Linked DNA regions of Ovis aries. The protein of the gene in region 2 purifies or fractionates together with the protein of the main gene of each other region. This does not show direct contact. Links are inferred from orthologs where the notes say so. Each region holds a gene or a part of one and is shown on either strand. Other genes may lie near its edges.

What was found. The genes of interacting proteins can lie anywhere in the genome.
Region 1: the proteins of IKBKB (region 2) and CASP8 purify together in Homo sapiens (affinity purification with western blotting; 3 studies listed by BioGRID and IntAct, with this or other methods). This does not show direct contact. The link is inferred for Ovis aries from reciprocal best matches to the Homo sapiens genes IKBKB and CASP8.

The regions. Positions count from the first base shown.
Region 1 is NC_056055.1:203,627,016-203,630,582, reverse strand, and holds part of CASP8 (caspase-8), read right to left. Parts: intron 1,567-3,567; 5' UTR 1,534-1,566; coding exon 1,229-1,533; intron 1-1,228. UniProt on the Homo sapiens protein: Thiol protease that plays a key role in programmed cell death by acting as a molecular switch for apoptosis, necroptosis and pyroptosis, and is required to prevent tissue damage during embryonic development and adulthood.
Region 2 is NC_056079.1:36,452,776-36,456,906, reverse strand, and holds the start of IKBKB (inhibitor of nuclear factor kappa-B kinase subunit beta), read right to left. Parts: upstream 2,842-4,131; 5' UTR 2,739-2,841; intron 2,244-2,738; 5' UTR 2,226-2,243; coding exon 2,121-2,225; intron 1-2,120.

The DNA of each region.
Region 1 (3,567 bases), on a different chromosome or scaffold from region 2:
TGGCTTATGAAGTGAAATTGTGGAAGCTGTTTAACCTTTAGGATGATTGGTTATTACAGCGGGTGTTTCCACTGTATGGCCAGGGATAGATTAGAAATGATTATCTTAAGACTTCTCTGGTGGAACAGTGGGTAAGAATCCACCTGCCAATGCAGGGAGCACGAGTTCTATACCTGGCTGGGGAAGATTCCACTTGCTGTGGAGCAACTAAGCATGTGCAGTGAAACAACCAAGCCAGAGTCTTGCAACAACTGAAGCCCACATGCCTAGAGCTGGCATTCCACAAAAGAGAAGCTACCACAATGAGAAGTCCGTGCACTGCAAGACAGAGTGACCCCTACTCGCCACAACTAGAGAAAGCCCAGGCGCAGAACTGAAGACACACCCAGCACAACCGTTAGTAAGTTAATAGATGAACATTTTTTTTTTTAAATGGTTATCTTATACCATTAAAAAAAAAAACACACACAATTATTGTGGGGGTCCAGCCTGGCCAATCCAGAATGACTGGCAGCACACACCTCACTGAAGAACTTAGTAACACAAGCCTTAAAGTGTATAATAAAAGCCTAAAACCCTGTGGAGAATTTCATAGTCATCCACAAGTAGATGGGAGGGGTTCTCGAGTGGGGAGCTGCAATGCTTTATTTAATAATAGGCAAAGTTGAGTGCATGGTATGAACATCAGCAAAGCAGAGGCATCAAGATAACAGACATGTAACAGAAAGGAGAATTAGAATGCTTAAAGCATGGCTATTTGAGTTTCAGTGGCTTCCCAGGTGGTGCTAGTGGTAAAGGACCCGCCTGCCAATACAGGAGACATAAGAGACACAGGTTCGATCCTTGTGTTGGGAAGATCCCCTGGAGGAGGAAATGACAACCCACTCCAGTATTCTTGCCTGGAGAATCCCCATGGACAGACGAGCCTAGAGGGCTACAGTCCATAGGGTCACAAAGAGTCGGACATGACTGAAGCAGTTAGCACATGTACCTATTGGTAATGTTTCACTCTGTAAAGAAAATTTTACTTTATTGGTTTTAGCATTTTTTTCCTCTGAATTCTGCATAAAGTCTCTACATTTCTTATCCTGGCCTTGGTGAAACTTCTTACCAGAGCCTCCAAAGTCACTCCATACAGACAACCTATATACAATATCAGCCCTGCCCATAAAGATGTATCCATTCAAACCCACAGCTCCCAGGTCCATACCACGGAGGTTCTCCCCACCTGTAGGCAGAGATCTGGGCCCTGCCAGGTATCTGAAGCTCCCTCTTCATCTCTTCCTCGCTGGTGTCCAAGTAGTTAAGCAGCAGATCCAGTCTATTCACTTGGAAAAGCAGCTCCTTCAAGAAGGACAGATTGCTTTCCTCCAACATTCTCTTTTCTTGGAGCCTCTGGAATAGCATCAAGGCATCCTTAATGGGTTCCTGCTTCCTATATGGGATGTGGTCCCGGCTTAGGAACTTGAGGGCAGCCAGGTCGTCACTGCCCAGCTGCTCTCCAATTTTATAGAGACATTGGGTGAGATCCATGCTTTTCAAGTGTTAGGAGAATGTAGTTGTTACCTAGGTTAAAACACAATGTTATTTTCAGATGAGGAAGAAAACTACCACTTACTGGTTTGTTCCTTCATCAAATGCTATTACATCTACTATATGCCAGACATTTTGCTAAAGATACAGGGAAGAAGAAAAACAAAATTAAAAAAAAACATACAAACAAACAGGTTCCCACTCATTATCATCTTGGAACATAACACTGTTTTGGAAAATAGATTTACAAACTAATCAGTGGTCAGAGAGTTGTAACCAGAGCACAGGAGAAATATAGAGTCTTAACTCAACCTGGGAGAAGGGCTTCCTGGAGAGGAGTCACCTTTGGGGAGAAGATGGTGAAGGACAATTCTTGAAGGAAATAATGTATGCAAAAGATGGAAGCAAGAATGTTCAAGTCAGTTCAGACAGGCATGGGGAGCTCAAAAAGTAACCCTGAAGAGTCTGAAAGAGGGAATGGTGAGACAAAGGGATGGAACTGTGGCCAGGAACCATTATAAAGGGCCCAGACCATGGGTCAAGGGGGTCAGGCTCTGTCCTGGAGATAACGGGGAACAAAGAAAGCATCGTAAGCATGACAATGATGTCATCCAATTTAGTATTAACATTTAAAGTGTGGGGGACATACATATATGTATAACTGAATCACATTGCTGTACATCTGAAACTAACACAAAATTGTAAATCAACTAGACTCCAGTATAAAATAAATATTATACTTTAAAAATAAAATGAAGTGTAGAGGACAGATTGGAAGGGTTGGAGGTGGGAAAAGTGATATGATCTGGCAGAAACAATGGTGGTGGGAGGACACGATGCAGTGTTGTCCCCCAAGGGCCTCAAGACTGGCTCTCTAGTCAAGAACCCTAGACTGGAAACGGAACTCAGAAGAACTTGGTCAGCCTTTCCACTCAAATTATGGGGTATTTTCACACGTTGCTATTGTATAGTCGATAAGTCGTGTCTGACTCTTTTTTGGCCCCACGGGCTGTAGCCCGTCAGGCTCCTCTATTCATGGGATTTCCCAGACAAGAATACTGGAGTGGATTGCCATTTCCTTTTCTAGGGAATCTTTCTGACCTAGTGATCGAACCCAGGTCTCCTGCATTGGCAGGCAGATTTGTTACCACTGAGACTCCAGGAAAGCCCTATTTCCACATATTGACTTGTTTGAGTGGGCTTCCCTGGTGGCTCAGATGGTAAAGAGTCCACCTGCAATGCAGGAGACCTGGGTTTGACCCCTGGGTCAGGTAGATCCCCTGGAGAAGGGAACAGCTACCCACTCCAGTATTCTGGCCTGGAGAATTCCATGGACAGAGGAGCCTTGCAGGCTATAGTCCATGGGCGTCTCCTAGAGTCAGACACAACTGAGTGACTAACACACACACGTTTGAGCAGATAAGAAAGGGAGAGGGTAGTGTTTCAGGAAACCACAGACAGGCTTCACACAAGTAGCCCTGAATCTGGAGTTTTCCCCCTTGAGCCCCTTGAGTCACCATGGATTTCTCCTTCACCTTCCCTGCTCTGATAAGCCTATATTCTAGGCACAAGGAACCCTTGGAGCAGGGTTCGTGTCAGACACAGCATAGTAACAAGACTGGGACATAACTACACGAGGCGGGCTACACGGTCACCGTCAAAGCCAGGCATCTCACCAGCACCTAAGTGTCTAGGCAGTGGGGCTGTGGGGTCAGACAGAACTTAGACCAGAACCCACGGTGGGCCTGGCCCAGGCCTGGGCAGTTCAGAGCCTCTTAGGGTGAAATTCTCCTCTGTAAGGTGAGATCAAAAGAACAACCTCTCCTGCAGTGTTGTGAGTATGAAAGAAAGTGAAAGTGATAGTCGCTCAGACATGTCTGTCTCTTTGCCACCTCATGGACTGTAGCCCTCCAGGTTCCTCTGTCCATGGGATTTCCCAGGCAAGAATACTGCAGTGGGTAGCCATTCCCTTCTCCAGGGGATCTTCCCAAACAAGGGATCAAACCCAAGCCTCCTGTACTGCAGGTAGATTCT
Region 2 (4,131 bases):
AAACATCAGTTCTTTGGCGCTCAGCTTTCTTTATGGTCCAACTTTCACATCCATACATGGTTACTGGAAAAACCATAGCTTTGACTAGACAGACCTTTGTTGGCAAAGTAATGTCTCTGGTTTTGAATATGTTGTCTAGGTTGGTCGTAACTTTTCTTCCAAGGAGCAAGCATCTTTTAATATCATGGCTGCAATTACTATCTGCAGTGATTTTGAAGCCCCCCAAAATAAAGTCTGACACTGTTTCCGCTGTTTGCCCATCTATTTGCCATGAAGTGATGGGACCGGATGCCATGATCTTAGTTTTCTGAATGCTGAGCTTTAAGACAACTTTTTCACTCTCCTCTTTCACTTTCATCAAGAGGCTCTTTAGTTCTTCGCTCTCTGCCGTAAGGGTAGTGTCATCTGCATATCTGAGGTTATTGATTATTTCTCCCAGCAATCTTGATTCCAGCTTGTGATTCATCTAGCCCAGCATTTCTCATGATGTACTATAAGTTAAATAGGCATGGTGACAATATACAGCCTTGATATACTCCCTTCCCAATTCGGAAACAGTCTGTTGTTCCATGTCCTGTTCTAACTGTTGCTTCCTGACCTGCATACAGATTTCTCAGGAAGCAGGTTAGGTGGTCTGGTATTCCCATCTCTTTCAGAATTTTCCTCAGTTTCTTGTGATCCACAGAGTCAAAGGCTTTGGCATAGTCAATAAAGCAGAAGTAGATGTTTTTCTGGAACTCTCTTGCTTTTTCGATGATCCAGTGAATGTTGGCAACTTGATCTCAGATTCCTCTGCCTTTTCTAAAACCAGCTTGAACATCTGCAAATTCATGGTTCATGTACTACTGAAGCCTGACTTGGAGGATTTTGAGCATTATTGTGCTAGCGTGTGAGATGAGTGTAGTTGTGCAGTAGTTTGAACATTCTTTGGCATTGCCTTTCTTTGAGATTGGAATGAAAAGTGGCCTTTTCCAGTCCTATGGCCACTGCTGAGTTTTCCAAATTTGCTGGCATATTGAGTACAGTACTTTAACAGCATCTTCTTTTAGGATCTGAAACAGCTCAACTGGAATTCCATTACCTCCACTAGCTTTGTTCATAGTGATGCTTCCTAAGGCCCACTTGACTTTTCATTCCAGGATTTTAATAAAAGGACTCTCATAAAATGGATGAGTGGCTTAAAGAGATTCTTGTGGAGAATTTCAGTGCATGTATCACCAGGACAAACAGGAATATGGAAGCCCTAATGCTTGTGGGGTGAAAAATTCACATGTCAAAGACATTAAGAAAATGATGATCTATGAGATGTAAAATTGGCCCAAAGAATTCAAATTATAAAGATTACTTGAAACGTGCATGTTCACCCACCATCCTCAACGATAATTCTCATTTTCACGTGCCTCTGTATAACTCTCACTGTGAGGTATTGCAAACAACACTGGGAAGACACCATAACTGCTAAGTATTTAAAATGGTTTTTAAATTAACTTTTAAAACATTTAAAAATGGTTTATTATTTTTACACTTAAGATTTTTCTAAAGTGTGAAAACATGTTTGCATGTTTCATAACATCTAATACATTAGTACACAATATATTCAGTTCAGTTCAGTTGCTCAGTTGTGTCCGACTCTTCGCGACCCCATGAAATGCAGCACGCCAGGCCTCCCGGTCCATTACCAGCTCCCGGAGTTCACCCAAACTCATGTCCATCGAGTCGGTGATGCCATCCAGCCATCTCATCCTCTGTCATCCCCTTCTCCTCCTGCCCCCAATCCCTCCCAGCTATCAGAGTCTTTTCCAATGAGTCAACTACACAATATATTAGTAGGTGATAATATTAGGTTAGCAAAGATATGTAATTTTAAAATATATATTTGAAGCTGAAAACTTACATTTTTTTTTTTTTTTACTATTTATTTAGGTGACATAGTCAGTAAAGCTTGGAGACCACTAACCTAGTCAGCTTAGGGGACCTGAGGCTATCTTCCCAGGCCCTTTCTCTCCCAAGAAGCCCAGGGCCAAGGTGAGCCCCATTCACAGGGTGGGTAGGGGGTGAGACTTAGTCTGCACCCCCTAACCCTGCCGCCCCCCGGCTCCTCCCAGCAGCACAGAGCCTACCTGATTGTGCCATCGGATGACGTTCCCAAATCCCCCTGTCCCAAGCCGCTCTTTCATTTCCCAGGCCCCGCATGTCTGGGTTGGCAGGGAAGGTGACCAGCTCATACTGAAGTCCTGCTAACGCTGCAAGCAATGTGGGGGGCGAGGGGGGGAACAAAAGGTGATGGTTAAGGAAAAGTGGGAAGATGGACAAGGTTAAGAGATGCCACAGCGCTTCGATGGTAAAGAAAAATCGGAACTGATTTTTCATCTCCGTACATAAAAGCAGGTGGCTGGGTCTGGTTTTCGTTTGGGCAGCAAAGTCCTGTCTTTCGCAGCCCCCCATCCACCTCACCCCGAAGCAGCAAGGGGTGGGTGGGGGTCCCGCCCAGGACAGGACGCCCCCGCACCCAGGAACTGCCAGGGGATCCCCGGGCTGCGCCCCCCGCTCCGGCGCCTCCCCGCTGGTCCCGACTAATCACCGCCGCGTTCCGGGCCCCCGCCCGGCACCACCCCGCCGGGGCCTCCCAGCCCTCCCCGCCCGGGAAGCCCCGGATTCGGGGCCGGTCACGCGCGTCTCTGGGAGCCTCGGAGACGGGGGTGCGGGTGACAGCGGGGGCGCCCGCCCGAGGCACTCACCTGGCGGCGGGGCGCGGGCGCCGCCCCGAAGACATGAACGCGCGGGGCCCTCAGAGCCTCGAGACAGGCGCCAACTTCCTCAAACACTTCCTGCTCTGACGTCACGGGGCACGTGGGTCGCGGCCTTAAAGGGGCCGCCGGCCCAGACTTCCCCGCCCCTGCCCGGTGACCGACCCTGGGGAAAACGCCCCCGTGCGCTTTAGACGTGCGACTTGTACCTGAGCGCTTTCTGGGACGGGGAAGATGGGGATTTCCTCACCTGCCCCGCAGCCCCGCCCCGGGGTCAGCCTGACCAGGCTTCCTAGACTTTAAAGTAGGGGAATTTCCCGCTCCTCCCCCACTCCCGCTCCCCCCCCTCCCCGCCCCCCCCCAGGATGGATTTAGGGACGTTTTACCAGAATTACCCTGGGGCTCTAGCTTTTCCGGCTGTAATCCCTCACCTGGTCTGGAGACTCCTGGGCTCAGATCGATAATGATAAATCACACCTGTAGTCCCTAGGCGTGACAACCTCCTCTTCCCTCTTAAAAAAAATTAAGAAGAGGGGGAGAAAATCTAATACTGTAACGCAAAACTGGAGGTTCAGCCCCAGTAACGGGCGGAAATTGTGAGACTACCTCTCGGCCTGTTAATCCTTCATCTCCGACCTCCTTGGCATCATGATTTGAGTTTATTATTGAGTTTCTCAGTTCGAGGGCAACATATTAGCAGACAAAGATTGTGTGTATGTGTGTGTGTGTATTATTACTCAAGCAAGGGTAAGGTATCAAAGGCAATCTGAAGATAATAGCTCACTTTACAGAGTGATAGAGTGCTTAGTGAGTCGGTCAGTTCAGTTCAGTGGGGTCCAACTCTGTGACCCCTTGGACTGCAGGATGCTAGACTTAGCTGTTCGTCACCAATTCCCAGAGCTTGCTCAAACTCACTTCCATCGAATCAGTGATGCCATCCACCCATCTCATCCTCTGTCATCCCCTCCTCCTCCTGCCTTCAATCTTTCCCAGCATCTGGGTCTTTTCCAGTGAGTCAGTTCTTCACATCAGGTGGCCAAAGTATTGGAGCTTCAGCTTCAGCCATCAGTCCTTCCAATGAATATTCAGGACTGACCTCCTTTAGGATGGACTTGTTGGATCTCTTTGCAGTCCAAGGGACTCTCAAGAGTCTTCTCCAACACCATGGTTCAAAAGCATCAATTCTTCGGCCCTCAGCTTTCTTTACGGTCCAATTCTCACATCCATACATGACTACTGGAAAAACCATAGTCTTGACTGCTGCTGCTGCTGCTGCTGCATCACTTCAGTCGTGTCTGACTCTGTGCGACCCAGAGACAGCAGCCCACCAGGCTTCCCCGTCCCTGGGATTCTCCAGGCAAGAACACTGGAGTGGGTTGCCATT